Linked DNA regions of Oryzias latipes. The protein of the gene in region 2 interacts with the protein of the main gene of each other region in a biochemical or structural test. Links are inferred from orthologs where the notes say so. Each region holds a gene or a part of one and is shown on either strand. Other genes may lie near its edges.

Region 1 (6,103 bases), on a different chromosome or scaffold from region 2:
CTGTTTCAGAGAAGCTGATCAGAGTTAGATCAATCAACTCTGAGTGGACTGATTCGGAGTTAAGCGTGCGCACCGCAACTATAAGAAGCCATTATCAATGGAGCGCAGATATTACGAGTCACCATGGCAACCGTGAAAAAAAGAGGTCTGCGTATTTTTCTCCAGCTGAACTTGACATGCTGCTGCAGAGTTACAGTGAATATGAGCACATATTCCAGAAGAAAAGCAACACCGCTACATCTGCAAAACAGAGACAGTTAGCGTGGGAAAACATAGCTGCTCAAGTTAATGCGCAAGTTTGCATTTAAATCATTGTTATAAAATATTGACTGTAATAACTTTTTAAATAGCGTAAGGTGTGAAATAAAAAATGGTGATATTTAGGTGTACTTTTGAAGTGTTATTCCTGGTGTAATTGCATGAAATGCTGCATAGTGTACAGAACCAATCTGGGGGAAAAAATGCATTTAACGTCGGTAATGTTTAGAGGACTTTTTTGTTAACCTTCCCCTCTTGCAAACGTTGGTCAGTTTAATATTAATACATGCAATTGTGTTTTTAAAAGTGAACTTTTGTCTACCCTTGTATTGATCAAGTGGTATAGGTTTATATGGGATTAAGAAAGTAAGCAGTGCTAGCAAATTGTGTTTCCAAAAAGTAATTGTTACATTAATCTAATTCAATGTCCCTGTTTTCATTTTCATGTAGATGCAATCCTGCAGGAATTAAAAGAACACGGCAGCAGCTAAAAATGAAGTATAAAAACATAATTCAATCAGGTCAAATTTGAGCATGTCATGGATGTAGGCTTTGTTGACAATATTTGACATATGAAACATCTACATAGCAATATCTAATGTTGTTTTCATTGTATATATGTAATTGACTGCAATGAAAAACGGTAACGCTCAAACAAAAACGTATGGGGAAATGACAAAAAATCGAGTCTAGGTCTCAAAATCCTCGTACGAGGTAAATGTAATTCTCTACGAATTAATGCAGCCTCCTCGTCTATTGGGTCCTCCAAAAAAGGACAAGCCATTCTTGTCACTTGTCTCTGTGTGACGGACATTTGGGCAATGAAGGTTAAAGCGAAAAATATCGCTTCGTCTTTAAAAAGGGGAGGGGACCGGCAGAAACCTTGAGTTTAGAGAATAAAACCTGCTCCCCACCAGGTTAGGTTCACAGCGTAAGTAACCATGGACACTGACTCAGAGTATAAGTTACCTCTCTTTCAGAAACGGGTTTGACTTACTCTGCTTTCTCTGGTTTAACAAACCTCCCATTCTGAAACAGAAAACCCAGGGTTTCCCTGATTTCAGGGTTAACGCACTCAGAGTTTACACTTAACCTCCTTTCTGAAACAGGCCCCAGGTGGCACATTATCTATAATGTTTTCTTTAACCTATTGTGTCCTTTCTAATAGTTTTAGAAAGAAAACTCAATGTTATTTATTTAAAAAATAAACACATTTTCTTGCTAAGTTATAAGAATAAAATCATTTTAAAAAATTGAGAGTTTTTGAGAAAAAGCAAAGTCCAGAGTATGGCCAGAAGAGCAGCTGGATGACTACATTGGCTGCATGTAGGCCTGGTGCATGAGAAACCCGGGTTTGATTCCCATGGGGTGCAATGAGCTTCATCCAGTGTTAGGCTCCTGCCTAACTATGTAGCCAGAAAGTGTCGGTCCCGGCCTAAAGTAAATACAGGATTGTGTCAGGAAGGCCATTCAGTGTACATATCTCTGCCAAACCGACTGCAGATCAGTGAAAGCTGAAGGGATATGGTGAACAGCAACAACAGAGGATGAAGACGAGTGTAACAACGAGAGACAGCTTTCCAGGGAAACGATTAAGACTAAAACGACGGTGAAGATAAAAATGTTTAATACAAAACAAAAAGGAAGTAAAATTCTTTAAAAACTATTAAAAGCGGAAAAAATTAAAATTTAAAAAGAAAGGTTTTAAAAGGAAAAAAAGAAAGATTGAAATATGGAAGTCAACAAAGGGACGGTTTCAGAAACGAAAAAAGCTGCAAGCACTAAATCTAAAAACCAACGAACGAGAAAGGAAAAAAACTTTAGTGGGGAGACAGGAAGACTGATCCAGAATGTGTTTTCGTTCAGGCACGCAGACAGGAGACCTGTATGACGTCAGCGCGTCCAGCTACGTTCCCGCTCGTTGATTAGCTGTTTTGAACAGCGTCGAGCGCGCTGATTGGTGCGTTTTGAAGCCGAGTCCTGCGCTCAATTTTAAAGAGTGTCAGCTTTGTATCCGCAGCGTGAGCAGCGACAGCACGGAGGTAAGAAGCGGCAACCGTTAACGGCTTCAACCGGTAGATCACGACATGAAATGGTACCGCTTTGATATGAGGAGAGGCGCGTTGGCGGACGGACACGCGCCTTCCGGTAACGGCTCGGTTCGGTTTTCCCCCAACCTGGTTTTCAGATTTGGAGAGGCCTCAGCTGGCCGGTGAAAGTCGGTGGGGTTGGTTCGATTCCTACTGTTTTTATTCTGTCTCTGTAACGTCGAGCTGCTCGTTTTACGGTTTTCAGGCCTGAACGTTCAGCGGTTCTCAACGGAGGATCTGACCGTTTGGAGTCTGAACATCTGCAGAAGTCCGAGCTGAGAGGATTTGTCTTCTCTTTCAGGGACAGATGGAGGACTACGTGAAAATAGAGAAAATCGGAGAAGGTTGGTGGAGTAAAAATGTTTTTGTTTTTCTAAAATGTTGTCCAGATTTTTTTGGGGGGTGAAACCCACCAAAGAGGCCCACCTGGATGCTGAACTTGGAAGTCCTTGAAAGTTCCTCCACCCGTATATGGAGATGTCCCAGGATGACGTCTCAAGCTTTGCTTTGGTTCAGATCCTGGCTCTTCATTCTGATCATGGTCCCCTGCACCACAATCTGAGTGATGGGGTGACTGCAGTGGTTCTGGGACGTCTGAGTCCTCATCCCCTGACTCTGCTCTGGTGTCTGCAGGGACATACGGGGTGGTGTACAAAGGCCGGCACAAGTCCACGGGACAGGTGGTGGCCATGAAGAAGATCCGCCTGGAGAGTGAGGAGGAGGGAGTTCCCAGCACCGCTGTCAGGGAGGTGTCGCTGCTTCAGGAGCTGAAGCACCCCAACGTCGTCCGGTATGCTGCACGTGTGCGCTGAACAGGTTCCTGACATTAATGTCCATGCGCTGCAGGTAAAATGCAGTGAGGTGATGTCCGGGTCAAAGGTGCTGGGTTTTAGTCCCTCTTGTCTCATCTGAACGTTTGGGGATAATCCAGATGTTTGTTCTTGTTCAGCACTTCTTTCTCCTTGAACTCTCCTGTGGATCCATGATTGTTCAGAAGTCCCTTTCTGACTGTTGGATCATGAACTCTGACCTGAACACGTGCACACGTGTAATGGGAGGCCTCCACTTGCTTCCATGTTCTTTCCAGAGGGGTCCTGCTTGGGTTTTTAACTCTTTAGTCCTTCTGTAGGGATGTTCAGAGTAGCGTTAATGCCGAATCCCTCAACTCCCTCCGCTGATCTTGGAGGTGCAATAATGGTTCCACCTTTGTGTTCACCTGAAAGGCTCTTGGATGTCCTGATGCAGGAATCTCGCCTCTACCTGATCTTTGAGTTCCTGTCCATGGACCTGAAGAAGTACCTGGATAGCATCCCGTCAGGACAGTACATGGACCCCATGCTGGTCAAGGTAAAACACTCAGCGCTTCGTTTTTAGATTTCCTACTCTTTGTTGTGACAAACGCTTTCTATTAAGCTGAACATCCCGGTTTCAGCTGGGGGAGGGGGGTCTCTGAATGATAACACACCAGGTTCCTCACTAACCACGGACTGCAGCTCCAAACATCACAGATCTTCATCAGTTCTTCTGAGGCAGCCATGATGCTTTGTGCTGCTTGTCTGTGAGGATGTTCTGGTGTGGAACTAGCAGTCTACCACTTTGAGCCTGTTCCCTTTTCTGCCCCCCCCTACAGAGCTACCTCTATCAGATCCTTGAGGGCATTTACTTCTGTCACCGAAGGCGGGTCCTCCACCGCGACCTGAAGCCCCAGAACCTTCTGATTGATAACAAGGGCGTCATCAAACTGGCAGACTTTGGCTTGGCCCGGGCCTTCGGTGTTCCCGTCCGGGTCTACACCCACGAGGTGGGAACCGCTCCGCTGCAGAACCCAACGCTGAGGTCTGCTCAGCTGATCCAAGCTTCTCGTTCTCAGGTTGTGACTCTGTGGTATCGAGCTCCTGAGGTCCTTCTGGGTTCCCCCCGATATTCAACCCCAGTGGACGTGTGGAGCACGGGTACCATCTTTGCTGAACTCGCCACCAAGAAGCCCCTGTTCCACGGAGACTCCGAGATCGACCAGCTCTTCAGGATCTTTAGGTACCGTGTGGGAGAACTATTCAGCTTCTTTCAGCGCACACACACACACACACTGATTCTACAAGGAGAAATCAGGTCTTGAAGAGTAAAGGGGCTCTATTGTCCGTCTGCAGGACTCTGGGGACCCCCAACAATGACGTTTGGCCGGATGTGGAGAGCCTGCCTGACTACAAAAACACTTTCCCCAAATGGAAGGAGGGCAGCCTGTCCTCCATGGTGAAGAACCTGGACAAGAACGGCCTGGACCTGCTGGCGGTGAGAAGTTCTTCAGATTATGAATAAAGTAGATCAAGTGGACATTTCTCATGGGGTGGGGTCAGCTGCAATCTCTTCGGGGGCTCCAAAGAAAAGCACCAAACTAAGGAACATTTCAGTCTTTTTATTCTTTAATGATCTCAGAACACCCTCCACCACCACCGGGGGTCAGCAGAACCCTTCAAAACCAGACCTTTACTTTTGAACATCCAGTTCCTCCTCAGTAACCCTCCTTGTGTTTTTAGAAAATGTTGATCTACAATCCTCCCAAGAGGATCTCTGCACGTGAGGCCATGACCCACCCATACTTTGATGACCTGGACAAGTCCACGCTGCCCGCCGCCTGCATCAACGGCGTCTGAAGGCCTGAGCCCCCCCGTTCTTCTGTAAATACTTGTGTGTTTGTGTTGGAAATATTTTCCAGAAAAATGTGTGAATAAAGGTTTTCATCAAGTGTTGGTGGGTGTGGCTTTTGTCCCTGCTGATGTCAGCAACCCTCTTCAATCCTGCCAAAGACCTGAGATGTTTGTTCTGGCTGCTGGATTTCTGCATTAGATGCAGAAACATGAAACCAAAACCATTTTAATAAAAGGCCACTAAGGTACAAAGAACTGATTTAGTCTCCCAAAACCGATCTGGAGGGAGCTACACCTGAACAAGCTTCTCTGCCCACCAGGAGTCTTCTTCCTCATGTCTGATCAGCTGCTGCCCTCCTCTTCCTCCAGCAGGAACTCACTGATCTCGTCCTTCATCAGAGACCTGCAGAAACGGCAACAATAAACAGCTGAAAGCTGCTTGGCCAAACCGCTCCGCCTTCAAGCGGAGTAAGTCTGAACATCTGCAGCGTGAAGCTCGTGTGGAAAACTGACAAACCAGCAGGTCTGCTCACAGAAACAGGACTATTTTAGAATAAAATCCAGTGATGACTGAGAGGTCAAGAATGACACTTCACTGTTTTCAGGAAAAGCTGCTGATGCAGTCTTGTGTTGTTCAGAAGCTTAAATGATGCTTAAACCTAAAACTACATGGAATAAAGGTTTGTCCTCACCTCCTCTTCCTCCTCTGAGCCTCTGTCAGGATGTACTGGGGAAGATGAGCCACTGAAGACTGAAAGGATGAAGAAAGCACTTCAGAGTCTGGTCTGTGAGCTGCTGCTGTCAGTTTCTATTCTGTTACCATCAGTAGTTTCTATTTTTTGCTGGTTTCTATAGTCAGCTTCAAAATCAGAAGAATGTTGGCTGATTTCAGCTAAAACTTCAGGATTACTGGTTCAGTTACTCATTCCATTCCATGAAGTCAGCAGACTGAAGCAGAAGATGGTGGCGGTCTCACCATGTCTCTGAGGGTCAGCTGGCAGCTGTAACACAGCAGCTTCTGCAGGTCCTTCTTCTCTGGAGCTCTGAAACCAAAAGCACATCCAGAACTTCACCCACAGGAGATCCGGTTCTTTCGGCTCCCAAACGGCT
Region 2 (5,368 bases):
ACAAGACAGTCAAATTACTTAGTCATGTTGTCAATATAACTGTGTACTTTAGAGGGAGGTTCTGATGTAAACTATGGCTAAAGTTTTGATGACAATTATTGTAAAATGTAAGTTACACCTTTTTTGTTTGATTGCAAGAGACTGGACAAGATTCACATTTAACACTTTTATTGTTCCTATTGTAATTTGTTGACAGACCATGTCATACCAACATAGAAAAAACCCACTGCAAACAGTAACACAAAGGGAAAAAAATATAGGACAATAATGTGTCCAACAGTACAGGCAGTGCAGTAGGAATTGGTGTGGTCTTCCTACACCTCTTGTCGTTCCTGTATGTTAGGCCACAAATTCTCATCCACATCACAGCGAATATCCTCTCTTGCAATGCAGCGAAATATTTTTGTCACATTATGACAACTTGGTCAACCATTTTGCAGTTAATGACTTATACGATGAACTACGGTAATGACTCTGTGTTTTGAGGAGTAAGACTATTGCACAGTGAACTATATAATACATTTTGATCAACATGACATAAACAATTGATAATGTAGCAAAGAGCAGAGAATTGTACATAATCATTTGCATGGATGTACCAAAGCAATTGCAACTTGTTCAAAGAAGTGAGAAACTGCTTACATGATGTGCACAAGTGACATCATGATGTGAAGATTGAACAAATAGTTTGGGGAATTTCATTCTGATCTGAGAATTGTCCTAAAGCGACTGAGAAAAACTGTATTGACATACAGTGCAATTATTTTGTATAATTTATAGAACACCGTATGTATAGACGGTTCGCTAACCCCAGAGGTATTAACAGTTTCGTGGGGCACGGTAACAAAAAAAGACAGGTGTTTGTAGGCGGTGTATGTGAAACCATAACTGTTTATTTATTCAAGTTCAGTATCGGCCGTCTTTCTGCTTTTCCCACTGAAATCACTGAAATCCTACACTACTCACCTTGTAGTGCTGTCCCAAACTATAATGCCAGAAGCAAATGCCCTAGAAATTCCCCTTAAGTGTGCATCAATGCTCACTAGATAGGGGAATATAGACAACAAGGATTTGCTAAAAAAAACATTTAAATGTATTTTATTTTAATAAAGCATCAATGTTTTTATCATCAGAATACAGTGGATTCAGAATTAGTTGTTGTAACCTGATAGTTAGGGAGAAGGGTGGGAATTCTGACGTAGCCTGTGACTCTTAAAGTGTCTACTGCGATGATGTAATGTGTTCAATTCAATATCTTGTTGTTGAATTATGCACCTGTTTGTGTTGTGTTCATTTGTGTTTGGACTTATGCGTATTTATGAACTGTCACCAACAACTTTAAAATGGTACTACATTCGAAAACAGGTTAGGATATGACCTCCTTGTACATTGATTAAATCCCTAAAATTCAACATTTACATGACCACAAGTGTGTGTGATCAAAAAGTGTACATCTGCTGATGTTGATAATACATGAATATATACATCTACATTTTCTTGAATTTATTCCTGTTTTATTTTTGTGATTTGCGCTTTTATTGTCTTGTATGATTCAGTTTCAAACCCCTGTTTAACCAGGTGGTCGCCCTTGGCGACATCCCTGACGGCACCTTGGTGACGGTGATGGCAGGAAACGACGAGAACTACTCGGCCGAGCTTCGCAACGCCACTGCGGCCATCAAGAGCCAAGTAGCCAGGTTCAATGACCTGCGCTTCGTTGGGCGCAGTGGGAGAGGTGAGCTGAGCGGTCACAGCCGTGCTCAGAGGTCATGTCAGGGTTAAAATATCCAACCAAGCCCTAGATTCTGAGATTTGTCAAGGCTTTGTAGAGTCTTTGGTGTGACCCAACCATGAGGTTAATAGTCTCAGGTGAAACTTTTCAGTTAAGCAGCGGTAAACGTTGCTAAAAAAGTGTCAACGTAAGTGTCAGGGATTACGACTTGGCTTGTGTAAACGTATTTGAAGTGTTTTCCACAAGTATACCGTGCAGAGTCCATAAAGTAGGGGAAGTACATCTGAATAAAAACTGTATTCACGCAACTTCCTCCCAACATCTGGTTCAGCGTCTGCCTCCTCCTGCCTCACCCTCCCACCCGCGTCAGTCTTCAACCGACACACCCAACTGCAGTTACTCCACATCAGTTATAGGCAAATGTTTCAACCGCTCTATTTAAAGCAGCAGACGTTTGCAGAGACTCCATCAGCTCTGCAGTAAAGAAAAAACAAACAAACCAAGACATCTACTGCTCAACCTGACAGGAAGTAGCTGAAGAGCTGTCACGATTGTTGTTTGGCCTTTTTTAGTGCTGTGGTTGGCCACTGTGAGTATTATTAATTCATCCACGGCCACATTCAAATGAAGTGAGTTCAAATAGCAAAGCATTTGTTTACATTCAAATTCAGCTCTACTCACTACAATCTACAATGGGATGAGTTTTCCCAGCTTCATTCAACAGGATCTGAAGATACAGCTGCAGACTGTTCGCAACAAGCAGGCCGTTGAGCTTTGAAGCGTCAACGGCGACGAAGGAAAAAGATGGACGAAAAGACATCTTCTTGTCCTTTGGTGGATTTATTGGGAGCAAAAATGTATGGCTAAAGAGCAAAGATGAACAAATTAAACTAAAGTCTGTGACCCAGAGTCACTACGTACATCTTGCACATATTGCACGGATGGAAATATGTCATATGTGAAGATACGTGAAAAGGTGAGAAAGGATGTGGTCTTTACGTGAAATTTTCACAGATGTATCAGGACTGAACCACGTTAAAACCACAGGATAAGTACGAATAAACCACTCAAAGAACACGTAAATCACCATACAACATGAACCGTGTGTAATTATTGCGCTGCTAATATCCAATTCATTATTGATTCATGCATCAATTACATAATTTGAACGCGATCTGGGCGCCGTATACTCGATATAAAAGTTATACATCAGTGGTTCATGTGTGAAAAGTCTGTTAGACATGCGTGGAACCGTCATGGAAAGCCAAACATTTGCATCTCATAAAAATTACAAAAAATTGTGTAAGATTCACGTAATAATTGCGTATAAACTACATGAAATACATGTAAACTACGTAATTCTCAACCAGCCAAAAATTTGGAACAGTTTAAAACTGGATTTACGTAAAGACCCATCGGCCAAAACCCCATTACAGAAATCTGAGCACATTGACGAATGACCAATGCTAGAAACACTCATGAATTGTCACTTATTAGTCACGAAACTTTCATATGTGGAAAATGCACAAAATGTACGTTGACACTGTGTTTCACAGACAAAAGACCTCTAACTTTGAGGTAATTTTGTACGAAAAGTAGAAAAACAATTCTAATTCTAGAAAACCTTGTCAGTGCTACTTTAGTCAGCTTAAGATTCCTACCTCTAAACTATTTGTGTGCATAAAAATAGCAAAAAACCATTGATGAAGCCCACATTCATTTCTGTACCTCTGGAGTAAAGCTACATACACGCCGACCATGTGTTGGGCGTTCGAGAACTTGCTGAACATGCATTTCAATACTTGCACTTACAGTTGGACGTTTCTTGGTGTGAAATGTCAAACAGTGCTAATCTCGTGAATCTTGCTCCTGGCTTTTGGACAGTTGACAATCCGGTGTTTTTAAAAGGACACTACCCAGACGTCCCTACCAAATCTGAGTTCCCGTTTGGTTTCAGCACACTTTTGTTTATCTTGAGCATATTTAAGATGAAAACCCGAGATAAGGAGAAGAGACGACATAATGCAGGCAGGTCAAATAAAAATACTTTGCGTTTTATTCAACGTGTTAGGGTCCTAAAGTTTAAGAACGCATGGACAGTTTGTATTTGCATGGTGTGTTTCATTTCAAGCACCATTCTAGAGGTACACCTTATCACACCTCCACCCTTGAGGTTGGCGGGTGTAAATAGAAACTAGCCTTATGCAAAATAATAGAAAATAAAACTCCATGGTGGAATTTTCCGTCCCACCACAGACACTTTGAATGTGTTTAAACTGAGTGCCTGGGTGTGTGGGCGTTCTTCTCATCATCCACAAACTGGTCGCAGACGCACGTTCGATCCAGGTTCCTGCAAAGAAGACACCAGTCTGACAAACTTGACACTCTGGAGTAAAGTTCTAGGCCTGCCTTACTGTCACTGGAACGACAGTTTGTCTAGCAAAAACACAGCCTCTGTTGGTAACCGAGTCTGACTTGGAGTGTCAGGAAGAGGAAGTCAACTGGAAGCATCAGCATTTGCATATCCACTGCGTGCCTTGCTCAAATGTTGATATGTTGGGAAAGAGGGTGCCCAGCGCTGCGTACAGAGGAAATTCCATTTCAACTTCATAAAGAATCCAAGAAGAGGCTTGTAATCAGTACAGTGGTACCCGTGTAGTTCTGATCAAGACCTCTCATCGTAAATTTGCTGGCCCCAGCTTGTGGAATGCACTCCCTATGCAGGTTAGGCAGGCCTGTTCACCGAGTGATTTTAAAGCCAAGTTGAGAACTCACTTGAACCTATGGGATTTTTTTCTCCATCCAATGGTAGGGGAGCGCCCCCAGACCATCGAATCACAAGATATTACAGTGCACCAAGAATCAAAGTAAGACTGATAAAAAATATACAGTCTTTCTGCCATCACTGAAAGAGTGGCGCAAGCACAGCAAGAGTCTAAAACACTCCTCACTGAACCCAGAACCAACTGGAGGTCTCTCCCTCTCAACCTGTGTTCAAACTGCAACCTTGGACATACGCAGATATTGTTTATGGCTCACAAAAATACAGCTGTACTTGAAGTTATACGATTAGCAAGGTGCTACTGCTTTAGCATCTCCAGCTTTGGAAATGTCGGTTCAGTTACCAAAAGGAGAAAACCGATCTTGTGTAAGAAGATAGGTGATGAGTTGTGAGGCCTGGTTTGCAACCACAACACGGTCACCCATTCTAAAAACTCTGCTGGTTCAATTCTAACCAGATGAATCTTCTACTGGAAATTATGTCCCTTTCTCTCTTGTCAAGAAAGGTCTTCCAAAATCATCTTTCCCTTACTCAACTGAAACAACAATAGACCATCAGTCTTTCCTCCAGGTCTTTCAATATGACCCCACATGGCTTTCCTAACCCCCACATGGCTTTCCTAACCCCAGAGACAGAGGTGTTCACCTCTATTTTTAGCTGTTTGCCATTGGCTCTGCTCTGGGCTCCTAATATCAAACCTGAACGTGCGAAAGATGCTTTGAAGATGATCCATTTCGGTCGTTCCCGTCTTCATTTTGGAATTCTGTCTTGACCTTTTCCTTAAGCGACCAGAGTCCCTTTTGCACCTATCATACATTATCTTCTTTAGTTATATTTTTGTTTTGATTGCTTGA
Region 3 (5,368 bases), on a different chromosome or scaffold from region 2:
GTGAATGAGTGAGAGAATCTAAAGATAGCAGATTTGTCGTCTCTGCACGGTGCCTGTTGCCTTAGAAGGCCAAACGTGGACTGTGGTGTAACCATATCTCTTGTGCCTTCCCATTGAGTGACAACAACAGCAGGTGTCCCGGGCTCATTCTTAGGGTCCCAGAGGAAGCAAAGCTTCCCTCACAACAGGCTGCAGTTAATTTTCGACTTAACGGTTATAAATTCTCTCAGGTGAAGGGTTTAAAGGGTTCACATATAATAATCTGCCACAATCAATGGTCGGCATGTGGACTAAAACATTTTTTGTTATTATCTAATCAAAAATAACACTTGTAGTTTGTTTTTTGTACTGTAACATTGCAATTAAAACCGTAACTGTTTTAAAAACATTTAACTACTATGAGTGGCTGAAAAATTGTAGCTTTTGTTGTGGTGTTTTTGGATTTTAGTGAGTTAGTCATGCTTAAAATGCACCCAATAAACAATTAGACCTACCACTAGGGGGCGTCTTTTGTGTTACTGTTTTTTTTTTTTTTTTGGTCATTGTCAGCTTTTTGGTATTTTAAATTTTTTTTCTGATTATGATGGACACATTTAAAGAAAATGAAGCTTTTCTGAAATTGCATTTCTGAGGAGCAGACGAAACAATGCTGCTGGTAAAAGCTCATAGCAGTGACATTGGTGCTGCAATCGGCGGGCCCCAAGCTCCCTGCTCCGCTCCATTCTGATGCCTCCACTTGTAGTTGAATAGATCTGTTGACGTTTTTGTTTTCCTCGTCCGAGCTGGTATTTGGCTCAGAACTGTACAGCTGGATAGCTCTAATATTGCTCGCCGGTTGTTACTAGCTGTAAGCTAGCCAGGGAGTGTATAAACAGATGGATGATGGGAAATGGGGGCAGGCTTACTCCGCGTCAACGGTTTCGTCCACAACTTGGAGACCGCTATCTAACAATAGATTGAAAGATGATTAAACATAAGAGTTTTTCTTGGATGAAAATGACTGCTTGTTTCACTAAAAGCTGATCTTTTGTCAAATCTTGACTGTTGCAGTGGAGGCGTCTGTTCACTTCACCAGCGTTCACTGCTCAGACAAAACTATAGAAGCTGCAGAGGCTCTGCTTCACATGGATTCACCCTCCAGCCTCCAAGGAGACCGAAGTCCAGGTAAAGAAAAAATAAAAAAAGCACACCAACGCCGTCCAGCTGTTGTCGTTCTTGTGCACATGTTCTTTAAAGACAACTGCAGTTGGCCGCCGCAATAAAGATCTCTCCTGTTTGATTCCTGCGCAGATACTTTAGTCCCACCGTGTGAAGTGACTCCGGACTTCCTCCTGGCTGCCATGCGACCTGACATGATTACAGACACAGAGGTGGAGATCTCCACAGAGGAGTGCTGCGAGGAGGAAGATGAGATGGTCACCTCCATGGAAGAGCCAGAGCTTGATAACGAACCTGTCAGAAAGAGACGGGGTACGTGTGAACGGAGATCTGTGCTTAGGGAAACGAGAGGGAGAAAAAAATCTATAAAAATGACATTTTATTTAAGAATCTTGTAATAAATTTGGAATATTTGGTGTTTATGTGCACTAATGAGGAGGAAAAAGCTGTTTAAGATGAATTTCATTACCCGGAATCGCCATCTAGTGCATATTGTTCTGATACTCGCAGCTCGGCTCACCAAAATGTTTCATTTGTGCAGCTGGAAAGAAGCCGAAGATCCATCAGACCACTTTTTCTAACGGCTCCGTGGATCTCAGCATTAAGAAGAAGCCGAGAGAAGGCAAAGGTGTGTGCCGGCCACGTGCGGTCAGATCTCCAACCGCGTTGGTCACAATGCAGGTTTTGATGCTCTGAGGAGCAATGGTCTGTGGGTAAAGTTTGTCTGTTTTTTTCGGTGTGCACCAGGGAGCACCACGTACCTGTGGGAGTTCCTGCTGGAGCTGCTGCAGGACAAGAACACCTGTCCCAGGTATATCAAGTGGACTCAGAGGGAGAAGGGCATCTTCAAGCTGGTGGACTCCAAGGCCGTGTCCAGGCTTTGGGGCAAACACAAGAACAAGCCTGACATGAACTATGAGACGATGGGACGAGCGCTCAGGTGGGGAGTGTTTGCACTGTCAGGAAAATTCTTCATAAAAAAAGACAAAACTACAGAATCTTAACATCAGGGTTTTGGTTCGTCTTCAGATATTACTACCAGCGCGGCATCCTCTCCAAGGTCGAGGGCCAGCGGTTGGTTTACCAGTTTAAGGAAATGCCCAAAAACATCATCATCATTGACGACAAGGCGGACATGTCGGATGACCTGATGGCCTCAGACACGGCGGCGTCGTACGAGCGCGTCCCTCCTCCATCCGACATGTTGCTTCAAGCCTCTGAGCTCCCGCCTTCAAAGAAACCCAACATTCTGAGAGGAGCCAACAGAGCCGGCGTGGTCCAAACCTCCGTCGCCGCGAGCAGCAAGTCGCCATCAGGAGGCGGAGCCACCATCACTACAGCAGGGCCGAGGATTGTCGCCGTCTCGTCGGCTCCGGACGGGAGCCAGAGCCGGCAGCAGAGCACGGCTGGGATGTCCAACGCCGCCGGGCCGAGGTTAGAACCCCTGAAGGGGCAGCATCGGTTACCCAACGGACCGACATCTCACGTTTTCTGCTTTTCAATCGCAGGACGGTACGGGTGGCAATGCAGGTTCCTGTCGTCATGACAACATCACAGGGCCAGAAGATCTCCACCGTGGCTGTGCAGCAGCCAGCAGGGGCAGCCAGCCCCACCACCATCCTCACCAGCGCCTCCAGCGTCGGCGCCGCAGCCAACGCCAACTCCCAGCAGAAGGTTTGTTGGACCCCAAGCTGAAGCTCTGGAAATGTTTTCTCTCTGAAAAGCTTCCCTAAGTGTTTCCTGTCCATGCTCAGGTTGTGATCCAGACTATTCCAACCATGGTCCCGGCCACAGCCGAGAACGGGGATAAGATCACAGTCCAGCTGGCGAAGATCATCACCATCCCGGCCCACCAGCTGGCCCAGTGCCAACTCCAGGGAGGCGCCAACAAAGCCAACGCCGCCGCAGTCCCGCCTGCCGGCATCAGCCTTCTTGGAAGCCCCCTGACGGTCCGGGCGCTCACGCCCGTCAACGTTGTCCCGGGAACGCAGGTGATGAGGCTCACCGTGCCCCCCCAGACCCAACAACAGACTCTGGTGGTGTCGCAGCCGGGGAGCATGGGCGGCGGGGCGGGCGTGGTGACCGTGTCCGCGGGGAACCGGGCGGTGGGCGCGCCGCCGCCTCACATCATCGGCGGCATCATCAACGGCACAGAGCTGGTCATAGGACCGGGCGGCGTCACCGTGGAGAAGCTGAAGGCGGCGGGCGCCACTGCGCGGGCCCTGCAGGTGCAGCCCAGCCCGGCGAACCCCCAAACTGTTCAGAACCTCAAGCCGGAGGCTGCGGACGCTAAGGTGGTTACCAAACTGTTAACTCCAGACGGGATTAAGATGGAGGAGCCCGAGTATTAAAACATTTCTTCACCTCCTTTAGACTAAAGCTAGTTTTTACATTTCTGAGGTCAATTTTACTTTTACCTGTAATAACCAGCAGCAACCTGTGAGACTTTAAAGGTTTGTTTTTAGTCCTTCTCCCCGTCGCTGCCTAGAACTGACACGGACTGACGGAACCTCCACAGAACCTCCACAGAACCTCCTTAGGTCTGGATCTCTGAATCATAGGAATACAGACTTGAAAAGGACCAACCTGCATCACTACAGGCCACGCCTTCTGGCCGGATCACTGACAAACGTCAACACTACACGAGGCAGAGAGCTGCAGCCAACCACATTGTAAAAAGACAAAAAGATAAGCTTTTTAAAGTGTTTCTACTTCTAGAATTGTTCAAAACCAGCAGTTTTTATTTGATTTTTATTTTTTTTTACACACGTGTATCACTGTGCAGGCCGAGGGCGGGAAGAGGAAGGTGAGCTGAGGGCAGTTTGTCAGACAGGAACTCGTCATGTATGTATATATATATAACCGTCTATACAGCTTATGGAGCTAATGTTAACAGCAATCCTAGATTTCAGCTTTTTTGGAAATGACGAGTAAAAATGTGTGTTGAAATACTTTGTACCAGGCGCAGTATTACGGCAACGGGACTAACATTTGTAGTACAGTGGTCCCTCGTTTATCGCGGGAGTACCAAAAATATCATGACTTTTTCAAGGAGTCTGTATGTTTTAAGGCTGTAACCCCCCACCCCCCATACTTCTACCCTTTTCTCAAACAAACGCCAACATTTCCCCCTTTTTTCTTTTCTTGTTTCAATGTTTGAAACCACCTCGAAAAATAAGTTCAGGGTTATAGAATTAAAACAAAAACATCTCAGATTTATATGGATTTGGCAAACTGAACGCATTCTGTACAGGAGACAGTACAGAGATTGATTGACAGGGTCAAAAAAAAAATTCAAGCAGACAAAATTACTGTTAAGTACTTTGATACTTAAGAGCAAAACGAGAGATATGAATAGTTGTCAGAAAAAGCTATGGACCACATACTCCAGGGCTGCACGGTGGTGCAGTGGTCAGCACTCTTGCCTCACAGCAAGCGGGCCCCACGTTCAAGTCCCAGCTGGGGGCAACAGGACACCAATGGGGAGTTGACACTGGAGCCTTTCTCCCTCCGGGGACTCCGGCTTCCTCCCACCGTCCAAACACATGGCTCTGAGGTTCATTGGTCACTCTAGCTTGTCCCTAGGTGTGAATGTGGGAGCATGGGTGTGTGGTTTGTGGCCCTGCGACAGACTGGCGACCCCCCCCCCCCCCAAAAAAAAAAAAAAAAACGGTTTTAGAAGATGAATGAAAGTTACTCTTAAAAAATCTGCAAATGATGAACGGCGTTACATCAAGGGACCACTGCATGGATCTATTTTGTTTCTGTTTCTCTGATGATCCAATCAGCTTGTTCTGACCCCCCCACTTTTTTTTTTTTTTGGCAGCGTGTTGCTCAGCGTTTCAGGTCTAAATGTGAAAAAAAAGGTGTCTTTCTTTACGTTTGCTCTGCGATTTGCTGCCTGAAAGCACACGCGGCTCTGAACTGATGCTGTCGGATGAAGTAGGAATGTGTGGAAAGCCCGTCTGGGAGCGGACGCATGTGGACTAAAGGTTTTCCGGCCGCAGAAGTCTGGGACCGCTGTGGCCGGCCGGTCGCCTCACACGGACTTACACAGAGGTCAGCGCGTCGGGCCGGTCTGCCGCATCGACTCTGCCCCGACGTTTCTTTATCTTATCTGGAAGAAGGGAAGACGTTCTTTGTTCAGACTGAACCGTTTGTATATTCAACATTTGAAGTATATTCTATTTTGTTGTACTCTTGTTTCAAA
Region 4 (5,820 bases), on a different chromosome or scaffold from region 2:
TTGACTGGGCACACAAGGTATATATTTGAATAAACCCCTTTTCCCAGAGAACTCAGGGATCCCTCTTACTCTCCCCACCTTCCTTGTATGTGTATTTGTGTGCATGCATGTGTGTTGGAGTCTATATTGGCACTTATAATTGGCGGGTAGGGCACTGAGGGAACGTCTTCTGCTTGTTGGAGACAGTCTTTCTCTAAAAGGATCTCTGAAGTTGGTTCCTTCCTGTGATGGAAGCAGTCGCTGAAGGAGGAAACGCAGCAGCAGAGGCGGCGTCCTGCAACCATCATTTCAAATCTGACCGTCGGCGTCTTCATCCATGTCTGAAGCACATGAGAAACTAAAGACTTTCCAAAGGGATTTACATTTTTCACTGAAGATTTGATAGAACTTGAAGCTTTTCTGAGGATTTGATTTTTATTTTTGTCTCCTAAGGGATCAATATCGGCTCCTCACAATCTTCTGGACTGGAAGTAAGGAAGGAGGAGGTTTGTGGACAAGCTGTAATCCCAAAGATGCTTCTGCTAACGCTCCATAAAAAGCAGATTTACGGATAATTAAAAACAGTCATTTATATTTGGCAATAAACTCTCTGGACACTGTGTCTTTTTGGAAAATTAAAAATGATGGTAGGACATATATTTTTACTGAAACGGCCTCGTCCCAGTTTGGTTTTCTTTATGATTAAGGTAACTTTATGAAGCGTTTGGGTTTAATCTCCTAAAAGCGTACAGTCTTGCAAAAGGAGAAGTTTGCTGCTGCTGCAAAACTTCAAAACTTTCAGTTCATGAATTGTTAATTTCAGAAAGATCAGGAAGGTTTCCTCATCTTTCATGTGGCGGCTCTAAAGGTGGAAACACTAAACATGAATCCTTCTACCAGCAGTGCATTCAGGGCTTATTCACTTTTTCCAAATGTTTTATGTCTTGTTTCAAATAGAGTAAACCTCAGGGAGGCGTCAGTTTATTAAATGAAAAGGGCCTTTTTGACATTTAAACCTTCAAGGCACCAGAACCTGGGTTTTTTTGCATCGTTTTTCTTTATTTGGGCCTCAGAGGTCCACAGACATTCCCTTTCTGACATGTTCTGCTGAATGAAAGCTCTCATGCAGACAGGTAGGTGTCCTCTCAAACCCAACCGACTCCAGAACCGCGGGTGGACGTCAGTGAAGCCCACGCATCTCAGAGATGATCCGAGCAAACAGGAGACACCGGGGTTTCATTTAAGCCTTTGACGCACTATTGATGCAAACCGATGCTTCTGCTTCATACTCACCTTAAAGAAAAAACAAAGTGTTTTTTCATAAAATTTCCGGGGGTAAACAATTACTTAGTTTTCTTTTATTTTAAAATCTTTTCTTTTTCCCAGTGTCCAAAAAACAAAAGTGTTCTTTTTATGATTTTGTGCTATTTCAAACAACAATAAAAAAAAATTTCACCCAACATTTGCTTTAAGGGATTTCAAACATTTTTGTCTAAACATATATTCTTACGTTGAAATAATAATAAATAATATGATTGTATTATTCAATATTATAGAGTCTCTAATATAATTTCTATTGTCTATGTGGAACTAAGTTTTGAAGTTTAATAATAAAACTGTAATATTTTATGTTTGGAGTACCATTGTACAAATGTAAATACTAAGATCATGAGGACTTGGTTTTAACCAGTTCGGAAAATTGTGACATTCTGACAATTTTTTTTAATGTAATTCTTGTGGCAAATTGAACACATCTTTTATTTTTTTACAGTTCCCTTTGATCCAACAGTCGTAGTTTTCTTTTGCTCAACCTTTCCTCTTCTGAGTATTTTGTCGTACCGTTTTGTCTCCGTTAGGGGGCAGCAGAGTTTTTGAAGATTCCAAAAAGAGGAAGAGGTTGTTGTTTTAAAAGAAGAAGAGTGTGAAGTTCAGGGAGACTTTGTAAACGTAATTTTGAACGGTAATGTGTTCTTCTTGAAAGGTTATTTGTTCTTTGGTTAATAAAGCCGCGTACTCTGGTCTTTGAAGTGTTTGGCTTTAGAATTAAAAAACACACAGATCTACTCAAGAAATGTACATTCTCCCATCTGTCCCCGACTCACCACAGACTTTGAAAAAAAAAGAGGTAATGAAGGACGCTTTTTGTATAGTGGGGTTTAAATGTAAGCAATTTAAAGTCATTTAAACCAGCAACACTAGCAAGTAGATATTTATGTTTGTTTTGTGCTTGCATGTTTTTACAGATTAAAATTCTGTTTTACGAATCTGAGTTGAGCCAACCTGTCATCGGTTTGAATGCAAAAATTCAGAGGGCGCGTGAAGGCAGCTGGTGGAGCAGAGGAGGAACCTTAGCAACGCAGTTGTAAAGCTAGCGTTTCCCCTGATAGAAATGTCAACATGCACCTTGGTGTTCACGGAGAGCGCGTAGTGTTTTACCTGCAGGCCTCTTCATGCTCCCACGTTCATAATGAAGCTCTTTAGTGAGCCAAGCTAGCCCCGCGGACTTTGGCTTTGTCGTAGCCCCGATCGGCTAGCTAGAACGAGCCGCCGTTAGCTTAGCTAGTACCTCGGTCGGTGAATATGGCGATTGTGTCTGGATCGTGTTCCCGGGTGAGCAGCTCCAGAAACGGGCCGTCGGTGTCCGCCGCGCCGTCCCCGTCAGTCGGACAGTCTCAGCCAATGATAGCGGTGTGGGAATGGCAGGACGACCAGGGCTTCTGGCGGCCGTACAGCGGCCAGGTCTGCTCCCACATCGAGCGGTCCCTGTCCCCGCGGGGCCACCGGGGAGCCGGACCCAGCTCCACCAGCGTCTGCCTCGGACAATCAGATCCCAGTCTGTCCCCCTACCTCATCGACATACCGAGCCTGAAGCAGTTTCGACAGGATACAGGTAAACCGCTTCAGCACCACACCTGAAGTCCGGATTCAGATCAGAGATTCTGGTTTCCGTCGTTCATTTTGTCTTTTTAAACTGCATTTCTGAGAAGATGATGTTGGTTCAGTCAGCTGGTCTAGAAAGCAGCAGTACACTTTAAGTTTATTTTATTAAGTATACTTGAGTACACGTATAGCTAGAATACTAGAGACTATGTAGATTTAGTGAAGTAACTGAGTATTTCTTGGAACATTTTGAGTCCAGGAATAGACAGTATGGAAGTGAACTTCAAGTGCATCACTTTTAGTATAGACCAAGTACCTTTTGTAGTACTCTTACAAAGAGTACTGTCTTGCTGAAGGTAAACTCATTTGCGGGTTTTTGTGCAGGAACCACGCGCTCCGTGCGCCGGTCTCTGTTCCCCCAGTCTTCGGGCCTCGGCAGTGGCGTTTACTGGGAATGGGCCAACGATGAAGGGGGCTGGACTCCGTACGAGACCAGAACTTCCATCCTTCTGGAGCACAGTTACCAGGCCCGCCAGGGGACCGCCGACCTGGGCCCTCACGGATACAACTACATTGTGGACCTCACGTCTTTCGCCCAGGTCAACAAATCAACGGGTTTCAGACGGCAGGTTCGTAGACTGGGCAACTCCCCGTTCCCGCTGGCGTCCCCGGGGCCCCCGGCTGTCCCCTTGGGGCCGGCCTGCTCCTGCCAGCAGTGTTTGAGCCACAGCAGCACGGGGCCCATGCCCAGCCGCTCCCGACATTCCTTTTCTTCGGGGAGTCTGAACCGACCCGGCCTGCAGGGACCAGGAAGGGCAGCCGCGACCCACCCCACTTCCGTCTACTCGCCGTATCCCCGGAGGCCCCACTCTGTTGGGGGGATATCCTGGGGCAGCCCCTGGCTCCCCCCTCCCTCTGCCAGTCAGATCTCGGCGTCGCACCTGAGCGGCTCCGCCAGCGCCAACGGGCTCAGGTGGGTTCCGCCTCTCTGTCCGGGGTTTCTGGTATCTGCTAAAACGCTGCCGGTCCCGTTCCAGTCGCCAACACGGATCTGAAGTCACTTTGTGGGGTCAAATGGTTTTACCTGAACAAATGTGGGACAGACATGGATAAAATAGGAACTCTTACATTTTGATTTGATTTGATTTTTGATTTGAAATGGTTTATTTCAAGCAATCAAGGAAGAAAAATACACAAAAACAATACAATCAGCATATTTTATTACATGTTTTATCTTTATCCGGTTCAGAACTTTTATCAGACAGAATTAAGAATCTTTTGGTGTCAATAAATCTCATGATAAAGATGAATTTCTTAATTATTATGTAAAAATAGACATAACTCTATTTTAGAAATAGCAAATGCAGATCAATTATCTAAAATATAAGCTGATTATATTCATTAGAACAATGATGTATATGATTAAAAAATAATACTATATCAGTAAAATAGACATAACACTGTTTCAAAAATCTTCAATATCAAAAATTGATCAAAGTTCAAAAGTTAAAAATATGTGCAAAATTAAGTTTCATTAAGAAAAACCATGAATCCATTTTTGGAGCAAGTGAAGTAATGTAATTAGAAATCACTCATTTTAACCATCTTCGATAATTGATTATGCATTATTTTTATCTTTATTTTATCTTTTTTTTATTTTAAGGTAGTTCTGTGAAATCAAATAAAATGAGAATAAAATCCTTGGTTGTGTCTGAATTCCCACCCTAACCCCAAACTACATAGTGCAGCACTGTGTAGCGCCCTGAATGTTAAAGCGATTCGGACGCCACGCTCACTACTTGTATTTTTTAGACGGCGGATATGACGTCATCGATTTCACAAAGTTAAAATCGAACTGATATGAGCGTTTTTGGACGAGTATTTATGAGTCTACTGTCTTCTGAAGATAAAAACATTAATGATTTATTAAAAAAATACATTTTAATGCATTTTTTTTTTTTTGCCAAAAATTGTTTCGACGCAATGCATTGTGGTCTATATGTGCCGTTTTTTTGCAGACACTTCTGGGAAATTTCAAGGGCACTCCATTTTGACAGCACTAGAAAATCACTATGTAGTGCACTCTATAGGGGTTAGGGCTGGAATTCAGACACAGCCTTTGTTTTGCCACCAACAGTGAGAGGAAAATGCCTTCATGGATGTGATGCATCAATTCTGTAAATACAGCTTTTGTCGGCGTTGAAAGCCGCCCTGCTTTTGGTGGCAGCGAGGATTTGCTCTGCTGGGGTTCTTCCATTTCCCACCCGCTTCTCTTCCTGCCTCATCGCTGAGCCGCCCTGCAGGGCAGCAAAGTGTTTTCTCAGGCTCACTTCCTGTCACTCCTGAGTGCATCGTCTGACCTTCCTTCCTCTTCAAAGCGGTTCCTGTCCTCAGCCGGGCTGAAGATCCAGACCCTCCTGAGTTCTGCTGGATGGGCTTCTTCTCCAGACTTCCACAGTTGTTGCTTGTCCTAATGTTCCCCTTGGAGGTGTCAGGATGCTGCTTCGGAGCCTCAGGAAGCTCCTCCTTCCATCTGGTGGTTCTGCTTCAGTTCCTAAAATGTTCTGATGAAAGCTCCAGAAAGTTCCAGTAAAGGCATTAAAGAGGCAATGTTTGGCATTCCTCCAGAGCTGCTTCTTCTCTTTCCACACAAAGGCAGCTTGAGAGCTCCATACAGCAGCAACTCTCTGGGCTTGGACCGGTACCGGTCCGTGTGACAGTTGGTACCAGGCCGGAGAGAACAAAAACCGTTATTTCTAATCTAATTCTGAAGGAAGTTTTGGAAAAACAACCGACTTCTGTCCACCTCATTCTCAGCACGTGTCACGCCGCTCGGTCCCGTGTGGAAAATCCATCCGCTACCTTCGAAACCGAGACCCAAAAGCTAACAAAGTTAACAAAAAACAAACGTATTTGAAAAGCTTCTTTACTCTGAAAAGATCCAGAGAGGAAACGGAAGAA
Region 5 (5,966 bases), on a different chromosome or scaffold from region 2:
CTTCTTATCCAACAAGCTTTCTCAATTGAAAGATCAATCCTTGATCTTAAAAAACTAAGTCCAGATGAACTTTTACAGACTTGTTCCTCCATGCATATGTCTGCAAGACTTTCTTTGAACTATTATCATCTGTATAATCCAGGTATATTTTAAGATCTGCAAACAAAAGTAGATTATGTTTTTGCATAACAGTTTTTGCACGCCCAAAGACCTGAAAGAACCGATAGAGTGTAAAGCAAACAGTGTCAGTGGGACTCATTTGGAAGCTTCTGTTCTTGGCAACCAGTCAGCCAAAGCGATCTAACAACCCAGCCGGGCTGCTCGGTGTCTGGTTTCATTCCGTTGCTCTATGGAGTCAGCAAGCAGAAAAGAGCCGCTGGTGAAACCAACAGCGCAGACAGAGCTCTCACTCTGCTCTACTTTCTCTGCACCTCTCATCCTACCGCTGCCGGTTTACAATTTAATTAGACGGAGGAGTCCCTCTGCAATACAGATACGATCTTTGTTCCTTCTTTTGCGTCACTGACGCGAAGGGGTTGGGTGTTGCTCGGCAACCAGGAATGTTCAACAAAACACAAAAGTGGGGAGAAAAGTCGTAATAAATGAAACACTGTCGTCCTTTGACATGAACAAATGACCACAATGACACCACTGTAAATAATTTAGACTTTAATTATTAAACTGATACATTTAAAATAAACCAAAAATAGTTATAGATTTTATAATAGCCATTACCACTTTTTTCTTTAGAGGGGTTATCATAAATTTATGTAAACATATAATTATGTAAAGTAATTGCAGCATATTATAGCGGTGCACACTTCTGCTATTTAATTACATTTTTATAAGAACTAGACATTAAAAAAAAATATAACAAGCATAATTCTGTATACATGTTACCTGGGTTCAATACCCAGGGCGTGCAATGAGCTGCCTGGGTCTCCCTGTGCCTTGAAAAGACAGGCCTGTGTCAGGAACGGCATCTGGCGTAAAAACTCTCTTCCAAACCACCTGTGCTGAGTGCTGTGGAGACTCATAACGGGATGAACCGAAAGGTGAACAACCTATTTTATAGATATTTCCATATACAAATCAGCAAGCAAATGTAAAACAAAATAAATAAGCAAAAGGTTGTCTTATTATCAAACTTCCTTAAGAGCACTGAGTCAGGATTATTGGCCCAGCTTCAAAGCTGCCTCTTGTTGTCCCTTTTAGGTGACAGTTGCTGAGTGGGATTTAAATCAAGTGAAAGGTGGAGGATTCCCTCTTTCCTTTGGGGGAAGACCTTTGTGAAGAGCTGGGCACACCTCACCTAGACTAAACTAATCCGCTGTCTAGGACAACTATTGCAAACAAAGCAATTGCGAGCTGAACACGCCCTTTTATGGGAACAAGCATTGCATCAGGGTCAGGGTGTGAACTTCTGTCCCACTTTGAACTGTTCTTAATTATGTTTATCCAAATAGAAAAATCACCGCGTGGAAAAAGATTTCCACATTTTAAATATGTGTCCAAATAAAAAAGTAAGATACAAAACTGGATAAAGAGGAGAAAAAAAATGAAACCAGAAGAGAACGATCATTTCCCTTAACTGTAACTTCGTGTGACATTTAATCCCCCAAAATCTGGATGTTTAGTTTTTGTTTACTGTTCTTGTTTGGGCAGAACAAACTTTTCGTATCGTTATCCCGTTTCTTTTGCAGTTTTTTTTTCAGCAGCCTCGCTGTTTGTTGTCTTACGTAAGGTCGTGTCGCCGCTCGGCCAATGTCGGATGGTGTGTTTCCCATCAAGGTCCGCCCCTTTACAGGATGCACCATATATGGTAAATGACGTAGGATTCGGGGATCCCGATCCTGTTTATGGAATATTCCATTTCTTGTCAAATTGAACATTAAACGAGCTCCAACGGGTTTCTTTTTGCTGTTTTATTACAAATAACTTGTGTTTTCGCTAACTATGACTGTATATTGACGAAACAAAAGCCATAATTCCCGCCACAGCGGCGTTGCTATGTGATTGTTTGGCGCTTTCACTCTCACGGTTTTAGGCTCCTCCCCCGCGCTGCGTCACACCACCAGGAGGATATAAAACCGATCTGAGCGGCTGGAGCAACTAGATCAACTTCGATTAGCAAAGTAGAAAGTCCTGCTCCATTTCAGAAGAAGCGCTCAAGGAACTTTCTCAAAGCCACAAAAAGGAATTTACCCACTTTTGAGAGGAGTTTTACTGGAATCTTCCTTCTTGTTTTCTCCGGGAAGTATGATGTTCACCGCCTTCAGCACAGATTGCGACTCTTCCTCCCGCTGCAGCACCGCGTCTCCGTCCGGAGACAACCTGGAATACTACCCGTCACCTGCGGGCTCTTACTCCAGCATGGGATCTCCTCAGTCTCAGGTAAATTGAAACGACGATTGCTTAGATGGCTTCACAGTCTTTTTGAACTTTAATTTATAATTAAATTGAGTGAAAGTCAGTGGGCCAGGTTAATTCAAAACTTTTTCAAATTAATTTGAACATTTTAGAATTAATAAATAAAACCTGAAAACAAGCTACTTTTTTTTTTTATAAAGAGTCATAAAAAATTAATTAAGGAGCATGTTTGTCCTGCTGCACACAGAGCAAGGCAGTTTTCACTCCACCGAGGATACATAACGTCAGAGCTGACATCATTGAGATATTTTTAAAGCCCAGTGTTTTAAAACCCTCCTGAAAGCATCACTAACTTCCCGACTCCCCTCCCTCTTTCTCTCAGGATTTCACTGACCTGACAGCATCAAGTGCCTCCTTCATCCCCACGGTCACAGCCATTTCAACAAGTCCAGACCTGCAGTGGATGGTCCAGCCTGTGGTCTCCTCAATGGCCCCCTCCCACAGAGCTCACCCTTACAGCTCCAGCCCCAGTCCTGCTTACCCCAGATCATCCCTGAGGTCTTCATCCAAGGCTTGCTCTTCCAAACGTGGCAAAGTAGAAAAGGTGAATTATCTTTTTTTTTTCTAAATCTCAAGTGATGCAACAGCTGAAATGTGTTTTTAGAGCTGGAGTCTCAACTTGTTGTTTTGTTCTTGCAGATAAGCCCTGAGGAGGAAGAGAAGAGACGAATCCGCAGAGAGAGAAATAAGCAGGCAGCAGCTAAATGCCGTAACAGGAGGCGAGAGCTCACAGACACCCTTCAAGCTGTAAGTATCCCTTCAGATTTACCCTCACTTATTGAAAATGTGTTCTTTCCCAGAGCTTAATAACCAATCCAACATCCCACTAAGTGACACTTTCTTTCTTTCCCATCTGATAGGAAACTGACCAGCTTGAGGATGAGAAGTCCAGTCTGCAGAATGATATTGCTAACCTGCTGAAGGAGAAGGAACGGCTGGAGTTCATCCTGGCTGCCCACCAGCCCATCTGCAAAATCCCATCAGAGCTGCAGACCGAGGTTCCCCTGACCTCAATCTCCTCCACCCACCCATACCTCTCCACCACAGAGTCTTCCATGCCCACATTTACCTCCAGCCAGCAAACCATCCCTCCAACTTCCAACTCTATTTTCTCCAGCTCCGTCCTCTCCACCACCACCTCGACCACCACGACCACCACCACCTCCGACAGCACTGTCAAGATGACAGACCTCGAGGCTTCCATTCTGGAGGAGTCTTTGGACCTGCTGGAAAAAGCGGACATAAAGACGGCACAGTCTGTGCCAGAGGTTGACCTTTCCAGCTCCCTCTACAGTAACCAGGAATGGGAGCCTCTTCATGCCTCTTCAACCAACATTGACTTTGAGCCCCTGTGCACACCAGTGGTGACCTGTACTCCAGCCTGCACAACCAACACGTTCTCTCTGGTGTTCAACTTCCCAGAAGCTGAGACCTTCCCCACCTGTGGCGTTGCACACAGGAGGGGAAGCAACAGCAATGACCATCCCTCAGACTCTCTAAACTCACCCACCCTGCTAACTCTTTAAGGACTTTCAATGAAAAAAAAAAGTATTTCCTCCCATCAAGTCTTGAAATATTATCAAACTGTGCAGAGGCATGAGCTTTGGAACAGGAATGCACCAGATGGCAAATCATATGTTACCTGCCTTTATCTCTACTTGCCTATTAACACCAATGTAGCAAGTTATTAAGCATGATTTATATATATTTAAAAAACAAACACCTAGTTGTTCTAAGTTACTATTATATTTATGGTGCTAGATAACAATACTTGTTGTCAATAAATGTGTTTTCAGAGCAATAGCTGTATAATTCTGGTTTGTTTTTTGTTATTTAAATGTCAAAGTAGATTTTTTTTATTTTATTTTTTTCATTAAACTGCTGTGGTGCCATGGTCTGCAAGTCCATCAGACTGTGAAGTTTTCTGTGAAAACATTGTAATTTATGAAATTTGTATTTATTTATTTTTACAGACGAATGTTGTGCAAATAAAAAATATATATTAACGCAGTTATTTGCCTGATTGTCACTTTAATCATATACCTATCGAGAATAATGTTGAGATATTATACACAGGTTTAATTTGAGTGTCTTCCGCTTTCGTAAGCGTCAGTAGCTTCAAGCTATTTTTCTTCTGTTGCCAAGGCTAACTGTACGTCAGGGCTTTGACGTCAGTGCGTTCTCTTGCATTTTCTTTTTGTCCTGAACGCCCTGCGCAATCACGTTGCACTTCCGTGCCCAAATATAGAATTCCAGTGGAGTCGGTGGCTGTGCTGCGGGCTGACGGCTCTTTTTTTTTTTTTTTTTTTTCTCACTTCCGCTTATATTCGCACATCTCAGGGGTTTCTCTGCAAAGAGAGCCACCGAAACTGTCGGTATATCCAACGGAAAGGAACAATAACTACGCTGGTTTGGTAAATTAGTCATTAGCCGTTCTGACCGAAAAAGACGAGACAACAGAGCGGATACAAGATTACGTTTATTTTGATTGACCGTGCCTGAGCAGGGCTTGTTTCGCTGGTACCAAAAGCAAATCATTCTGAATACAATATTTTTATTTTATTTCGTTTTGTTTGATCTGCAGGGTTCATGCACTTCAGTTTATATCAGAATGAAAGAAAAAATCTAATTCTTTATTTTTTTCCTGTTTGGTTTATTTCAATCAGTAAAAACAAAATAAACAATTTAAAAAAGTACATATATCAAACAAATTTAAGACATTAATATGTTGTAATATAAAGTTTTACACAATTTCATATTTACAAATTAACTTAACACTTCTCAAGTTACGATTTGAAATGGTTTGTGTGTTGGAGATGTTGAGTGAAAATGATTTTGTGCACTCCTTGTAAATTTTGTCATAGGATTTTAATCATCTTTCATGTTTGCTCGTCCCTCATCAGTGCTTTTCCTCATGTCATCAGAAGGCAGGTTGCCCAATTATGACAGGAAATTCTGTGTGAGGACAGAATTTCAGCAGACTAAGTCATTTAGGTCACACTCATTTACGTTGCACAAGACAATGTCTAAGCATTTATTGCCTCATGTTATTGGGTGACACGTTAAAAGAAATCTGGTCTTTTAATACTTAAAAAGTGAAATATCATGCTTTAAAACCACTTGATGCTTGGAATAAATCTGTTTTGACCCCCTTTCTTTGATGCCAAGCAGTTGTTGCATAACAGGCGGATTCTGCTTGTCAATTTTTGCTTGCGCTAAAGCTCTTTTTTCCTTCATGAAACTTCTTGGTGTGACCACGCAGTGCCAGGAAAATCTATAAACGTCTCATCGCTGCGCCCGGGGAGACGAGGCAGCGGCAAAAATAACAGCAGGTGCCTATTGCTGCGATAACAGCAGCATCAACAGCAGTAAAATTAGACTGCTGTGACGCCAGCCTGCGTTGGTGCCGCAACCCTTGGGAGAAACCAGCCAGCGTACGCTGATGCAGGGAGAGGAGGAGGAGGAGAGGAGAGAATGACGGGTATACAAGGATGGCAAGGAGGGAGACAGACTCAGATCCCAGCCTCTGAAACTGA

The links.
Region 1: of the proteins of runt-related transcription factor 1 (region 2) and cdk1, one has a biochemical effect on the other in vitro, tested with the Homo sapiens proteins (2 studies listed by BioGRID). The link is inferred for Oryzias latipes from reciprocal best matches to the Homo sapiens genes RUNX1 and CDK1.
Region 3: the proteins of runt-related transcription factor 1 (region 2) and elf2 form a complex in vitro, tested with the Homo sapiens proteins (2 studies listed by BioGRID and IntAct). The link is inferred for Oryzias latipes from reciprocal best matches to the Homo sapiens genes RUNX1 and ELF2.
Region 4: the proteins of runt-related transcription factor 1 (region 2) and probable E3 ubiquitin-protein ligase DTX2 form a complex in vitro, tested with the Homo sapiens proteins (2 studies listed by BioGRID, with this or other methods). The link is inferred for Oryzias latipes from reciprocal best matches to the Homo sapiens genes RUNX1 and DTX2.
Region 5: the proteins of runt-related transcription factor 1 (region 2) and c-fos form a complex in vitro, tested with the Homo sapiens proteins (2 studies listed by BioGRID). The link is inferred for Oryzias latipes from reciprocal best matches to the Homo sapiens genes RUNX1 and FOS.

The regions. Positions count from the first base shown.
Region 1 is NC_019873.2:1,585,553-1,591,655, forward strand, and holds cdk1 (cyclin-dependent kinase 1), read left to right. Parts: upstream 1-2,292; 5' UTR 2,293-2,300; intron 2,301-2,340; exon of another isoform or gene 2,341-2,485; intron 2,486-2,649; 5' UTR 2,650-2,655; coding exon 2,656-2,692; intron 2,693-2,981; coding exon 2,982-3,138; intron 3,139-3,571; coding exon 3,572-3,695; intron 3,696-3,978; coding exon 3,979-4,149; intron 4,150-4,218; coding exon 4,219-4,382; intron 4,383-4,495; coding exon 4,496-4,637; intron 4,638-4,741; exon of another isoform or gene 4,742-4,882; coding exon 4,883-4,999; 3' UTR 5,000-5,095; downstream 5,096-6,103. Other genes in the region: ctu2 (cytoplasmic tRNA 2-thiolation protein 2), read right to left, coding at 5,336-5,396, 5,686-5,744, 5,970-6,036. UniProt on the Homo sapiens protein: Plays a key role in the control of the eukaryotic cell cycle by modulating the centrosome cycle as well as mitotic onset; promotes G2-M transition via association with multiple interphase cyclins.
Region 2 is NC_019860.2:1,351,872-1,357,239, forward strand, and holds part of runt-related transcription factor 1, read left to right. Parts: intron 1-1,578; coding exon 1,579-1,735; intron 1,736-5,368.
Region 3 is NC_019859.2:5,671,681-5,677,048, forward strand, and holds part of elf2 (ETS-related transcription factor Elf-2), read left to right. Parts: intron 1-1,050; coding exon 1,051-1,164; intron 1,165-1,290; coding exon 1,291-1,470; intron 1,471-1,699; coding exon 1,700-1,786; intron 1,787-1,905; coding exon 1,906-2,098; intron 2,099-2,187; coding exon 2,188-2,592; intron 2,593-2,666; coding exon 2,667-2,832; intron 2,833-2,912; coding exon 2,913-3,509; 3' UTR 3,510-5,368. UniProt on the Homo sapiens protein: Isoform 1 transcriptionally activates the LYN and BLK promoters and acts synergistically with RUNX1 to transactivate the BLK promoter. Isoform 2 may function in repression of RUNX1-mediated transactivation.
Region 4 is NC_019872.2:28,223,502-28,229,321, forward strand, and holds the start of probable E3 ubiquitin-protein ligase DTX2, read left to right. Parts: upstream 1-1,919; 5' UTR 1,920-2,559; coding exon 2,560-2,869; intron 2,870-3,243; coding exon 3,244-3,832; intron 3,833-5,820. UniProt on the Homo sapiens protein: Regulator of Notch signaling, a signaling pathway involved in cell-cell communications that regulates a broad spectrum of cell-fate determinations.
Region 5 is NC_019882.2:17,151,062-17,157,027, reverse strand, and holds c-fos (c-fos protein), read left to right. Parts: upstream 1-2,114; 5' UTR 2,115-2,259; coding exon 2,260-2,394; intron 2,395-2,752; coding exon 2,753-2,974; intron 2,975-3,069; coding exon 3,070-3,177; intron 3,178-3,290; coding exon 3,291-3,556; coding exon of another isoform or gene 3,557-3,592; coding exon 3,593-3,956; 3' UTR 3,957-4,440; downstream 4,441-5,966. UniProt on the Homo sapiens protein: Nuclear phosphoprotein which forms a tight but non-covalently linked complex with the JUN/AP-1 transcription factor. In the heterodimer, FOS and JUN/AP-1 basic regions each seems to interact with symmetrical DNA half sites.